Linked DNA regions of Pelodiscus sinensis. The protein of the gene in region 1 interacts with the protein of each later gene in a biochemical or structural test. Links are inferred from orthologs where the notes say so. Each region holds a gene or a part of one and is shown on either strand. Other genes may lie near its edges.

Evidence for each region.
Region 2: the proteins of KPNA2 (region 1) and CSE1L form a complex in vitro, tested with the Homo sapiens proteins (2 studies listed by BioGRID). The link is inferred for Pelodiscus sinensis from reciprocal best matches to the Homo sapiens genes KPNA2 and CSE1L.

Annotation. Positions count from the first base shown.
Region 1 is NC_134730.1:20,964,391-20,971,615, reverse strand, and holds the start of KPNA2 (importin subunit alpha-1), read left to right. Parts: upstream 1-4,211; 5' UTR 4,212-4,366; intron 4,367-5,293; 5' UTR 5,294-5,338; coding exon 5,339-5,413; intron 5,414-5,522; coding exon 5,523-5,660; intron 5,661-6,076; coding exon 6,077-6,165; intron 6,166-6,781; coding exon 6,782-7,050; intron 7,051-7,225.
Region 2 is NC_134728.1:20,606,643-20,613,718, forward strand, and holds the start of CSE1L (exportin-2), read right to left. Parts: upstream 3,022-7,076; 5' UTR 2,907-3,021; coding exon 2,882-2,906; intron 568-2,881; coding exon 472-567; intron 1-471. UniProt on the Homo sapiens protein: Export receptor for importin-alpha. Mediates importin-alpha re-export from the nucleus to the cytoplasm after import substrates (cargos) have been released into the nucleoplasm.

The sequences.
Region 1 (7,225 bases):
GAGGTTGTGGAATCCCCATCTCTGGAGATATTTAAGAGTAGGTTAGATAAATGTCTATCAGAGATGGTCTAGGCAGTATTTGGTCCTGCCATGAGGGCAGGGGACTGGACTTGATGACCTCTCAAGGTCCCTTTCAGTCCTAGTATTCTGTGATTCTAAGAGCAGGCAGGGCTCTTGCTACATTTCAAAAGTGGAGGTGCCCTTATCAACTAATCAAATGGACAATGCAAATTGCATCCACCATTCAATTAGCTGATTAATCTAAATTTAACATTCTTACTTTTTACCTGAAACACTATTTTTCACTCTGCACCAAATTGCTGTTGTTTTGATCAGGAAAGCTACTCAACTTGACCTAGAGCTTCTTTGCTACATGACAGTGAGCTGCTGGCAGTGTGGTCTCCCTTCAAATTTGGAATTTTCTCTTTGCTAGATGCTAAATATGCCAAATCTTTTTACTCTTTTGGACATATACTGCAAAGCCTCTACTTTTGAGCTGGCTTTTGTGAGTTTCTGGGGAAGTCTTAGTAAACTAAGGCCTAGTATGTTTTTTATTTGGATTCTGGGGGTTGGAGTAGGTTGATGCTCTTTTGATTTGGTGTTTAGTATGCAAGTAGTGCATCTTCAATCAATTTACTTTAAATCCCAGTAAAGAGCAGCAGGTATTCTTCTTTAGGTCCAGTGCCTCCTTTGGTTTGGAGTCTGAGGGTCTTGGTTTTGCCAAGAGCAAGGAGGGAGGCACAAAGGGTATGGCTTTGGGAATGTATACACAATGCTGCCGCAGTCCTAGGCCAGGCTGGCTGACACAGGCTTGGGCTGAGGGGCTAAACATTGCTATGCAGACAGTCAGGCTCAAGGAGGAGTCTGGGCTCCATCCTGAATCTGAATATCTACCACCTATTTTACATCCCAAGTCAGCTGACACAGGCCAGCCATAGGTATTTAATTGTTGTTGTGCACATGTGCCCTACAATGTAATATGAGCCCAGGTTTAACAGAACTCAAGTTAGCAGATCCTCAGTTTGTTAAACTTGGGCTTGAGTATTTACACTCATCTGAAACCACAGGTAAGGAATGGTTGAACCCTGGGTCCCAATCTGCAGCTCCAGCATCTACACTGCATTATGTAAATCAGTGTCCAATCATCCGTATCCCAGACCTCCTATCGTCTTCCCAAAATGTGGGTGTTTCTTTGTTGTGAAGTTTCAGAAAATCTGACAGACACTAAACTTGACTGTCCAGAGGACAAAGGAAGTTAGACCATGAGAGTGTGGGATACCTGATTGCCACAGAAAGAGTCCAATGGGCTTGAACCCTAGGTCTTGGCTAGGACGCCCAGTTTTTTATCGGAAAGTATAGTGGAAAAGGGAACCTGACAGTGACCATTCAGATCTGCTGACTGGACACCCAAAGTCCAATTACAGTGGTTGGGGGAGACACCAGATCAACACTCAAAGTCCTTATTCAGCTGGGTGGGTGATGATCTGATGTTTCCCCCAGCATCAGGGGGCTGCAGCTCCCTCGTGACCTGGGTGGGATGGGAGTAGGGGGCAGAAGAGGGAAAGAGCAAAGAGTGGAGGGGACAGCAAGAAAGAGGACCAAATGGGATTGGACCTCAAGAAAGAGGTGAGATAGGGGCAGGTACCTCAAGAGAAGAGAGGATGGAGGAGGTTCTGGCATGCCTGCTGTAGTGTCTGGTTTTTAAATATTACAAAGTTGCTACCTTAGTCCTGGCTTCACTGAGCCTCAGCTGCTCCACCCCAATGTGGTCCTGAGTATGAACCCTCAAATAGCGTGATTTGTGTGTAGACAGAAAATACTTGAGGCTGAGTTTGAACCCTGGGCTTACAGTGCTGTATACCAGTGGTTCCCAATCTTTTTTATACCATAGCTCGGCAAACCGCTAACATTTTATTTGAATATTTGCACACTCATTATGTGAATAATGAATATTCAAATATGCAATAAAATGCTGCTGGTCTGCCAAAAGTTTGTGAATGGGTATGCTAGTCCGCATTATAAAAAGCCCAAGCCCCCAGAACTCCTCAGTGCCAGCCCTAACACCTAGAGGCCCCCACCCCTCCACTACTCCCCCAAACCAGACACTGATCCCAGAATCCCCTGCACCCAACCGCCCCCCCCCCCCCCCGTGCCAGCTTCCTGCTCTCAGAGTCCCCAGTGCCAGTCCCCATCTCAAATGCCGCAGTGCCAGTCCCCCCTTAGAGCCCTCCATCACCAGACTCCCCAGTGCCAGCCTCCTGTTCCGGAGCTCCACTGCACCCAATCCTGCTGGGCCTCCCACACCCCGAGACCCCCAGTATTAGCTTCACCCTCAGAGCCCCCCCATGCCAGCCCCCTGCCTCTTAGAGCCCCCCCCCCAGCACCAACCGTGCCCCTGGACCTTCCAGTGCCTGCTTCGCCCCCCGCCCTGAGCTGCCTCCTCGCTTCCAGCTGAGCACTGCTGCCCAGGTTGTGGCTGCTCTAAGCGTGCCGTGCTAGGCTCCGCGTGGCCCTCCCACTGCACAGTGAACTGATCTTCTGCAGCTGGGGGAGACCTCTCAACAGCTGTGGTGTGAGGGGAGGCCCTGGGTGGTGTACCTAAGTCCCCACCCCCAGAGCTTCCCTGGCTCACCATTGGTCTGTGGACCGACGGTTGGGAACCACTGCTGTATACAGTTCTGCATAGCTAAAGCATGCAGTAGATTTTGGTGACCAGGGGTTTGGTCATGCTATAAGGCAGAGGTTAATGTTACCATATGTGAACGTTCAAAAAAGAGAACACTCCTGAGAGAGAGTGTATCTGTATCAGTAGCTACCAACTCATTACGGCTACGGCTACATTGGCAAGATTTTGCACAAATACTTTGAATGCAAGAGTTTTTGCGTTAAAGTATTTGCGCAAGAGAGCATCTACGCTGGCATGTGCTTTTGTGCAAGAGATGTGCTTTTGCGCAAAAGCATCTGTGCCAGTGTAGATGCTCTCTTGCGCAAGAAAGCTCTGATGGCCATTTAGCCATCGGACTTTCTTGAGCAAGAAATTCATGTTGCCTGTCTACACTGGCCTCTTGCGCAAGAACAGTTGCACAAGAGGGCTTATTCCTGAGTGGGAGCATCATAATTCTTGCGCAAGAAGCCCTGATTTCACACATTAGAATGTCAGTGTTCTTGCGCAAGAACTCCCCGCCAGCGTAGACAGGCAGCAAGTTTTTGCGCAAAAGCACCCACTTTTGCACAAAATCATGCCAATGTAGACACAGTCATGGTGTATTAGTATAGTGTAGATACAGATACACTCCCTCTCAGGAGTGTCCTTTTTGGTGTCCTTTTTTGAAAGTTCAAACATGGTTAACCCTAGTAGAGATGGGGAACCTTTTTTGGGTCAAGGGCTGCTGGCCCACAGAAAAAATCAGTTGGGACTGCACACAAGAGAGAAGCAAAAGAACAAAAACAAAGAAACAAAAAAGCATAAAACCCTCACTAACATGGCCCACAACTGAGGAAGACACTTCCCACATTCCCCTTGCACACCAGAGGCTAGGGGAGCCCAGCCTAGTAGATTTTGTGTGCTTCAGCCCTGCAGTGGGACAGCAGCACGGTGGAAGGGGGTCAGGGGGAAACTGGAGCGCAAGCAAGGGCTCATCAGTACTAAGGGGTGTGGGAGGACTGAGCCTTGGGAGCTGGATCCAGGCAAGCCAGGGCACAGGGCCATATCCAGTTCCTGGGCCTGAGGTTCCCCACCCCTGCTATAGGATGTGACCCTGCAGGTGTAAAGGGGGGGAGGTAAGAGCAGAGCAATGATTTCCTCCTTCAGGCGTCACTCAACCTCCTTGCTACTGAAAGCAGATCGTTTGGACCCTTGAAGTCCACATAAGAACTGACCCTGCGGGGACAACAAATCCCAGCATCCCATGCTCCACAGTCCTTCGAGCAGACAAGGACCCGGCCGAGCATTGCATGCTGGGAACTGTAGTCTCTTTCGGGCTTCTGGCTGCTAGGTGGCGCCTTGCGTGCTGGGGGGATCGGTATTCTTGGAGGCGCGAGCCGCGCGTTTCTACGCTCTGTAGCGCGTTTCTACGCTCTGTGACGTGCAATCAGACCTCTCCATGATCCCGGCGGAGTTCTCGTGAGATTCCCCACCCCTCTCCCCCGCCGCCTCGCGAGAAGAGCTTGCTTTTCAAACGGACCCATGAGAATGTTGCTTTGGCTCGAACTGGCCAATCGGAGAGCGAAGACGCGGGAAATTTAAATCCCGCCACGGGCGGAGTCAAGGCAAAAGGGGCGGAGGCGGCGGCAACGTGTGCGCTGGTGCTTGGCCTGGTCGAGTCAGAGGCTGCGCCGCAGGGACGAGCAGCGATCGCTGGTGCAGGTGCGCGCGCGGCGGGGGGAAGGTGTCTCGTGCGCTGAATTGGGAGGCAGTGGGGGGGGGAGGTTAAAGAAAAGGGGGAGCTGAGGGGCTCTAGGGCGTGTGTTGGAGCGGTGGGAGTGGGGGGGGCAGGGCTGTGTGTGCTTGTGAGGGGGAGATTCTGGGGCTGTGTGGGGGGATGGGCTGGAGTTATCGAGGGTGAAATGCGTTGGGGGTTTCGTATGGGTTGCACAGATAGTCGGGTGGGGGACCGTTTCCCCCCCCCCCCTTTGCTCATTGCAGGTTACTAAAGCGATGGGCGATTCCTAGCCCGCCACTCTCCTAAGGAAGGCACTGGCTGGGTTGCTGGCTTATTTTAATTCGCCTAATATATTCTTCAGGGTGCGACTGTGGTTGCTTCGTGGTGTTGGTTTGGGGCTTGGTTTAGCCTCCACACGGAGCGGAGATCTGTACCCCGTTATAAATGAAGCGGCTGCGCTACGCTTGGGGTGTGTCTGCAAAATGGCTCTCTCCCTTTAAAAGGCCATTGTCAAAGTGAAATCTAGTCAGTTCCGTAAAGGGAATCGAAATTTTAACCCAGGGAGCTGTAGATCCTGTAGCAAATCTCTTCTGTTTTGTTGGGGGGAGGGGCGGAAGCTTCCTTGTCACTGTGCCTGAATGATCAGTGGTGTTTGCAGAAGTAATTAATGTGATTATACGTTGATAGCTGCAGAAAACCTAAAATGTATAATTTTTATTTGTGGTAAACTTACGTATCACTTGTAACAATAAAAAATGGTTGTCTCATTTGAAATGAGGCAATGCTCCTTGTTTGCACATTATTCCACCTCAGGTCTGGACATCCCTATTTCTAACTCCCATCTTGATTTCAAATGCATATCTTTCTCTAAAATCTAAGTAAGTTAGATTTGAGTTTAATATGTATTTCAGGTCTCTCTCTTCTGTTGATATTGCCTGAGTCTGACTACTATAAAAATGTCTACCAATGAGAATGCTTGTGCAGCAGTTGCTCGTCTGAACAGGTTCAAGAATAAAGGAAAAGACACTACAGTGAGTATCTTTTTTTTTAACTGGAGTCTGTGCTCATCAGTGTTTAAGCATAATTTAGCCCTTTAAAAAAGAAAAGAGTTCCTCATGACGGCATATCTGCCTTTCTCAGGAAATGAGGCGGCGGCGCATTGAAGTCAATGTAGAGTTGAGGAAAGCTAAGAAAGATGATCAGATGCTTAAAAGAAGAAATGTCAGCATTCTCCCAGATGATGCTACTTCACCTCTTCAAGAAAATCGAAACAATCAGGTAACTAAATCTCCCAGCTTCATCAGTGGATGTGTTACAATGGATGTCTGTGGTACCATATAATTGTTACCAATTATAACAGAGTACATAGTGCCAAATCCCTGCTTGCATAGCCTCAGACTGCAGGCTTTGTCTACAGTTGGGACATGGCTTTAAACACTGTCTATGATAATACTAACTGGTTGCAATAAAATGAATTAAAATTCATGTTGTCACACCTAATAACTGTCTTTTCTAGGCTAGACAAAATTATGGCTGATAAGGATTCAGAATCCCATTATAATTGGACAATGCTCCATTTTTAATTTAAGTGCCTTCTTTTAATAGTCTGCCTTGTGGACTGCTGAGAGAGCTTTTGCTTTACTATACAGACACCTTTTTCCCAACATAGTCTTAAGTTTCTGTTTCTCATGCAGGCCACTGCACACTGGTCTGTTGAAGAAATTGTCAAAGGAATTAACAGTAACAACTTGGAGCTGCAGTTGCAGGCAACTCAGGCTGCCAGGTAAGAACTTTCGTGATCGGATTTGCTGGGAATTAGCTGATTTCCTCCCCCTCCCCCCCCATCAGAGCACAAGTTTATAGCAAATACTTGTTAAAACCTAGTTCTGTGTATAGAAACCAGCAATATTTTAATCTGCTCTCTGAAGTAAATGTTCTTGGAATTGACTTTAGTCAGCATGGAGACTAGGGCCAAACTGAATTATCACTTAGCATCAGTATACCCTTGAATAATCTAAGGTGTGGCCTGGTGCACACTAATTATGCCACTGATTCTTAGGTGTGACATAGAGGTGCTGCTCTCTGTACATTACAAGATCTCTCTTGAGCAGTTCAGATGCATTTGTATTGTTGCAGCACCATAAAGCATTTCACTTAAGTTACTCAACTGAAAACCTCTTAAGGAAAAATTTCCTTAAGCAATTTTAACTCTTTAAAGCTTCCTAGCTAGCTAATGTTCCAAGTGATCGGTAGCTTATCTGAACTTCTCAGTGCATTGTGCTACTTCCCCTTTTGAATTTTTTTCTTACTTTAAAAAATAGTTCTCAAGCTTTGCTGGAATCTACCCTAAAGATTTTAGTGGACAAAATATAACTCCCTTATTTTTTTTCCTTCCTTAGGAAACTCCTGTCCAGAGAGAAGCAACCTCCAATAGATCATATAATCCGGGCTGGCTTGATACCAAAATTTGTTGCCTTTTTGGGTAGAACAGACTGTAGCCCTATTCAATTTGAATCGGCTTGGGCGCTTACCAACATTGCCTCTGGCACATCAGAGCAAACTAAGGCTGTAGTGGATGGTGGGGCTATACCAGCCTTTATATCTCTGTTGGCTTCACCTCACACTCACATCAGTGAACAGGCCGTGTGGGCTTTAGGAAATATTGCAGGTATATCCATGTAGAGCTTGATCATTGTTTTCAGCCCTACTTCCTCAATGCAAGGGGAAGAGAGCCAATTGGGGACAGACTTTCAACTGAGGAGCTGTTGTGTGCAATATGCCTGACTATAATGCAAAGCTTGTAAATTCATACATAGCAAGAGTAAAATAGTGATTCAGATGAA
Region 2 (7,076 bases), on another chromosome or scaffold:
ATAGATGCATTTCAACAAAAATTGACAAATATTTAAAACCTGTGGTGCTAATGTGTTTCTACCACAAATAAAAGCTTTTAATGCAGAGCAGGCTGTGGAAATATTTCATCTTCACCATTTCTAAAAAACAATGATCCACACACAGCAAATTCTGGATTATTTTGAATTAGTATTAACCATGCTTGAGAACAGCATTGCTTCTTTATACTGACAACCGTATTTAGATAAAAGAATATGAAATTAAGAAGGGAAATGGAAGAGAAGGAAAAAGAGAAGAGTTAGATAGCTTTTATTTACACATTTTGTCACAGGGTTACTTCAGAGACTCAACTGCTTTAGAAACTAATCAAAAATAGTTTAAGATAGGAAAAAGATCACATTTAACAAACTTCAGTGGCAGTTCAGGCAGACAGAAGAGCTGAACAAACACTATGCTTTTAAGCCAAGAGCTATGCATTTTAACTGTTTTACCTGGACGCCGTATAGAAGGATCTGGATCTAGTGTCTTCTTTAGGTATTCTGTTAAAGTCTGTAAATTGGCATCACTGAGTTCCATAACTGCAAAACCTAAAGATGCATAATATATTTGGTTAAGAATTCAGAGTAAAAAATACTTCCCATGCAATCTGTTTACCAGCCAGATATGAAGTGTATGAAATTATTTAGGATTTACATTTTCATTTGAAATTTCAGAAAGTGAATTCATAGCCTGTATTATATCCATGCAAAACTGATGTGAAAATGTCATACTTTTTGCTTTAGATGTATATTTATTTTCACAATTATGCAGGACTGCCAACAGCTATTTTATGAGTTAGGCCTGAGCACCTAGAGAATTCCAAGCAGAACAGTTAAGTTCTCTGGAAAACTAACTCTTGCTTAAAGCCACATTACGAGCATTAACTTTTGTAAAGAGCTTCCAGTATAAAATACTCTAGGAACAGAAACCTCCTTCAAGCCAAAGCCAAGCTATGCTACTCTTCCTCTCCCCATATTATTTTACACAGATTTCCAGGTTCACCTCATTGATCTGATACCTTCACACCTTAGTTGAGATCATACAAGTGACAACTGTCACTCAAAGTCAAGACACATTTCAGTTTTTGTACCAGCTCTTCCCCCCACTCCTACTTTTCCCAGGTTGGTCTGTTTGTACCTCTAAAGAGCATCAACATATACACTATAAAATGCTGGAAAAATGCTTTAGAAGTAATGCAAACTATCTGTTAAATCAGAATATGAATTTTCTATTACAAATGTGATGACTTTATTAGTGATGTAAACTATTTAGGTCTTTGGTGTATGTGAGAGAACACTGCATGTTGTAAAGGCATACCCTCCTGCCCCTAAACAGAAAGGTTAGAGGCATCACTTTTCCCTGAAGTATTTAGTTGACCTGACTATAATCACATTCATTAGCTCATATTAGCTAACAAAATCCTCTTAAAAGGTGATATCCAATATGGGTGTGTCTACACAACACAGTTATTTCGAAATAACTAATGTTATTTCGAAATAATGCGAGCATCTACACAGCAATTCAATTATTTCAAAATAATTTCAAAATAATGGCTGGCTCATTTCACAAGGAATAATGCTTATTCTGTAATAGCTATTTCAGAATAGCAGTAGTTTGGATGCTTCACTGCTGCTATTTCAAAATAGTTCCTCCCCAAGGCCTTTCAAAGTAATTACTTCCAAGTGCCTTCTCAGGCTATAAATTGAAGTAGCACATCCACATTAGGGAAGCCTGCCTTGGACTAGTTTTGAGGCTTCCCTGTGGTGTAGACGTGCTATTTTGAAATAAGCTATTTTGGAAAAAAAATTCAGAAATAGCTTATTTTGAAATAAGCATGCTCTGTAGACATAGCTCGTAAACTTGCGTAGGGTATGTGGTAAAATGACTTCATCGACCATTACCATGGTAAAACAAATATTTGATCTGTCCATAATGAAATATTGCTCACTCCAGGAAGGTATAATTTTGCAAGGCCAGGAAATCAACCAATACATAAGTCATTCAGTTAATCTTTTCAGCCTGAATGAAAATCAGTGCTCATGAAACAAATGGACCAAGTATTGGCTTGGAAAGCCTGGCCTAGAAAAGCAGCTGTTTAATATAGGTATTAGGGATGTTAACAGGTGGGTAGTTCGCTAATTGGGTATTTGATAGAATTTTTATCAACTATACAATTAGTCGATAAGGGAGAAAGCACTCAGTCCCAGCTTTTACAAAGCCTGGGAGATACCCCTCTGTGGTTCTGCAGTTTAAATGTAGTAGGAGCTGGGCTATCTACCTTACTGGCTTTTACTACATTTAAACTGTAAAGCCGCAGAGGGAGGAGCTCCCAGACCCAGAGTGAACTGGGTCTGAGCCCAGCTTGCTCAGTCCCTACTCACACTGGGTCCAGCAGCCCGTCCGCAGGGGGTCCCAGCGGGGAGCTGGGACCTCCTGCAGACAGTGGCTGCTGCTGCCAGAGCAATCTCTGCCTGCAGCAAGCTTGGGCTTGCCACGGGCAGAAGCTACTTCATAGCAGCCCCTGACACCTCTCTGCACTGCTGCCTCTGATGGAGACAGCAGTGCAGGGGGCAAAGGGGGAGATGGCGCCTCAGAGATAGTGCTGGTGGGGAGCTTTTAAGCCCACTCCCCCAAGCACCGACTTCTGCTCCCCCACATTGCTGCCTCTAATACAGAGGCAGCAGGTGGGGGGATGCGAGTAATCGATGTGACTAACCGATAAGCCCAGGCTTATCGATTAGTTGACTATTCACTTACATCCCTAATAGATATATTGACATACTCTACCCTAATCAAACTTGTGTCACTTGTGAATTATGCAGACTTGAAAACATTCCTGCAATGATAAGAAACAAAACATACCAGTGCTCCTTTCCCATAATCCCATGGTTAATGGGAATTATAGTAGCTACAAGAATGTTGCTGGTTTTTCATCTTTACACAAAGTTTTCTCTATTTCACACTCCACCTCTCATCTACGGCCTTCATCCTTTTTTGATACAACCAGGAAATAAAAGACATTTTAGCCAAAGCTATGTTAGCTACTGAATTAAGTTTTTATTCCCACCAGTCTCAACCTACTTGTATGCTTTTCAGAGATTTTCTTCCCTGGGAAATTGTCATTGAAACAACTTTGAATTCGGATGACTATGATTTCCTTCTCCGATCTCAGAGCACGAGTTGTGAATTTCAGAGCCCTTTCAGTTGCATCTGGCATTTCAGCCAGTTCGCCAAACCACTCTTATTTCCACAAAGACAGAATGGGCTTTTCTCCTTTAAGAGCTTATTATAAAATAACAGAAAAACCTCAAAAAGAATGAAATTTAAGTCTATCTTCACAGTCCCATTTCAGATTTTGGATTAAATCTTTTTTAGCCTACATTAATTTCAATGGGATTATTTATGGGCCCATACCTGAAAGGAAAATGATTTAATTCACATTAACATTATGAACAATTGGTTGCGGGGCTATATTGCTATGTATCAGAGACGGATGTAACAGTGTAGTCGATTAACCGATAAAAATATTGGTTAATGTGATAGACTACACACATTCTCCCTCCACCCTCATTGCAGTAAATTCTTTAGCAGCCCGGGCAGCAGCCTGGCTCAATCCTGGCTCATGCCGGGACCTACCCCCACTGCAACTTCATTTAAAATGTATTGGGAGTCAGGCGGGCAGGCAGCCTGGCTCAGTTCCGGCTCATGCCAGGTCCAGGAACTCAGATCCCCTTCTTTCCCCAGACAGGGGCTGCCACCACTGTATCAAAGGCAGCAATGAGGGGTGACAGCCAGTTCGCAAAAGGAGCTAGTTTTAAAACTGGCTCCCTTCATGGACCAGCTCCCACCAGGCACTCCACTCTGCTGATACAAAGGCAGCAGCGCAGAGTGGCAAGGGGCTCCTCATGAGTGGGGCTGGAACGCACTGGCTGCCGGCCCCACCCCTGGGGTCTATAGAATAGCTGAGTAACCAATAAGAATTCATGAGGTTAATTGACAATTCCATTAACCAACATTTAACATCCCTAGAATGAGAAAGACATCATAATGCATCTTCCTTAACAGACCACAGTTTAATCTAGAGAGAGTAAAAATTTTTTTGAGCTGACCCAGGCAAGTGTCTATGCTGACAGACACTAACATAATTCACATATTAAGGAGGAAGACACAGTCACTGAAGGCAAGAATTACTATGTCAGCAGTGCAGTGCAGAAAAGAAAAATTCATTGCTCCTCCAATCCACTTGCATGGAATACTATAAAGAACTTTTCAAAACACTGAATGTCTGCTCTAAATCATTACATCACTTATCAGGCATGAGTTTCACGCCGAGGAATACTTATTTCCATAACTCAGTTAAAATATAGTAGGCAGAATATCTGACTGACTAAACCATGATTAGGGATGTTAAAAATCATGTAAAAAGATAATCATGTAAGTGCCGAGAATTTCAGCAGTTACATGCTTACCTGTGCTGTGGGCTCTGCAGTATAAAGCTTAGCAGGGGTGGGGAGAGCAGGAGCCGGTGCTGAGGGGGAGGTGGGAGGGGGGCGGGAAGAGAGCAGGCTTAAAAGCTGGTTCCCCCCAGCACCAACTCTATGGTGCCATCTACCCCCTCTGAGGCCTCTATCAGAGGCAGCAGTTGGGGGTGGAGGGCAGGGGAAGCTGCCAGAAAACAGCCCCTGTCTGTGGGGAGACCTGCTTCACATCCTATGGACAGAAACTGCTGTTACCTTGCGCTACTGCCTCTTTATCAGCACAGGGTGGCAGTCAGCCAGTCCTCAATGGGAGCTGTTTTTTAAACCATTAAAATTGAATGCAGTTACCCAATAGCTAACATCCCTAACTCAAACATCCCTACCACAATACCTTGGAAACAAGTATTTGCTAGGATTTTACCTGAAGCAAGACAAAATGAGGGCAGAGTCAAGGGACAGAAAGAAGTGCAGCGTGCTATGATTCACCATTAGAAAGATCTATCTTTCCTGCAAACCAATATCCCACAATACCCACTTTCAGAGGGTGATGGAAGGGGTTTTACTATCAGTGTTGTAAATCCACCTCCTTGAAAAGTGGTAAACTAGGTTCACAGAAGAATATTTCCATTATTCTAGCCATATGTACACCACGGTTACGCTGACCATACGTCCCGGTTTTTCTGGGACAGTCCCGAATTTAAATGCTCTGTCCCAGTGTCCCTATCATGTGGGAAATGTCCTGGAAAACCCAGTCAGATCATCCTAGAAACTGCACTGTCATTTCCCTCCCACGCTGGGACAGCCTCGCAGACACTAGCATGGTGCAGTAGCAACATGCCCTCCCCCAGCACTTAGGCGGCTCCTGGGTGCTTTGCCAGCCACAACCAGGGCAGCTTCCGGTGGCGCACAGTTTCTGGATTGGGCTTGGTCACAAGCTGGAGACCGGAGCATTCTTCGAGCTCCAGTGCAGTGCACGATGATGCCTGGCAACCCCATGCCAGTCCCTCCCTCCCCCCGCATGCTCCCATCTCAGGATGCTTCTGCCTCCTCCTCCATCTCCAGTCTGCCGCTTGTTCTTTGTACAGTGGCCACTGCGGGGCAAAGGGAGGGAGGGAAAACACACACCAGGCAGGTCCAAGAGCACGCCTTGTATGGCTGCCACTTGACTCCAGCTGGAGGCAGGGCCGCCCATGGTGCTATTTTTAGTACTGCAGTCTCAGTCCCCGCAGGCAGCCCCAGCTCCAGCTGGAGTCAAGTAGTAGTCTCATTAGGTGCATTCCAGCAGGGGCAGCCCAATTGGAATGGGACTCGTGCAGCTGCAGCTTGACTCCAGCTGGAGCTGGGGCAGCTGGTGGGGACTGGGGCAGCAGTACTAAAATTAGCACCATGACCCCAGCTCCAGCCCTGCAAACTGGAAGGCAGAAGGTGAGGCAGGGGGAAAACAAGGGGGAGGTGGGTAAGGAGAGAAAGGGACTTGTACTGAGGGAGGGGGTAGGACAGGAGAAAAAAGGGGAAGGCACCGCGGGGCAGGGTGGAGGAGAGACAAATGTCAGGGGGCCAAGAGGAGACAATGAGGAAAAGGGAGGAAGGGGGGGAAGGTATCAGTGCAGGTGGGAAAGAGGGGGGACAGGGTGATGCTGGGAGAGGGGGAGGGATAATGGGAGCAAAAGGAAGGAGGAGGGGTGGAGATGATGCCAGGAGAAGAGGGGTTGAAAGGAGGGGTGGGCATGAGGATGGAGCAAGTCATGTGTAAGGGCACAGAGGGGCATGAGGGGAACTGGAGCAGAACATGGGTGAGGGGGTGAGCACCAGGGAGAAAGCAGGCAACGAGGGTAGGAGCAGTGAGGGAAGGGGGAGGCACCAGGAAGTTGCAGTGGTAAGGGAAGATGCAGGTGCCAAAGGATTGTGGGGGTGAAGCAGAAGGGCAGACATGTGGAGGGGAAGGACGGGCATTAGAGGAGAGAGGCAGAGCAGGTGAGTAGAGGGAGGTGTTAGGAGAAGGGATTGGGAGGGGTAGCTATAGATGATCAGAGTGGGGCTAGAGGAGAAGTGGGCACAGGGAAAACAGAAGTGCTGGTGCAGGGGTCAAAGAGGATGGGGAGAGGGCAGGTCCCTAAAGGGATGAGGGGAGAGAAGGGCAGGGGCCAGGACAGCAGAGGAGGATGGGGGACAGCAAGCACCAGGGAGGAGTGGGAGACATGGCAGCAGTGGGGAAAAGGGAAAAGTTTAAAGGTATTAATTAACAACTTGGGTGCCACAGTGGCACACATCCGAACAAGCGCACATGAACTCAATATTGGTGCACAATACAAAACTCACTCCGCTCATGGGAGAAAAATCTTAGAGGGAACACTTCCCCCAGCCACTCCCCGAGTTAATGAAATGCAAGGTGGGTTAATATAATTGCAGGCTAGTTGCATGGGGGTACCCGGGGGTGGGGGAGAGAAACCATTCCTATAGGCAGAGTTCTTAGAGTGGTCACATGACACTCTTTACTTCCGGTCATGTGTCCATCTTGACTCCAGGAGTACTACCTCCAGGGGTGGGATTTCTTGTGGCAGGGAGCGTGGCTAATGTGT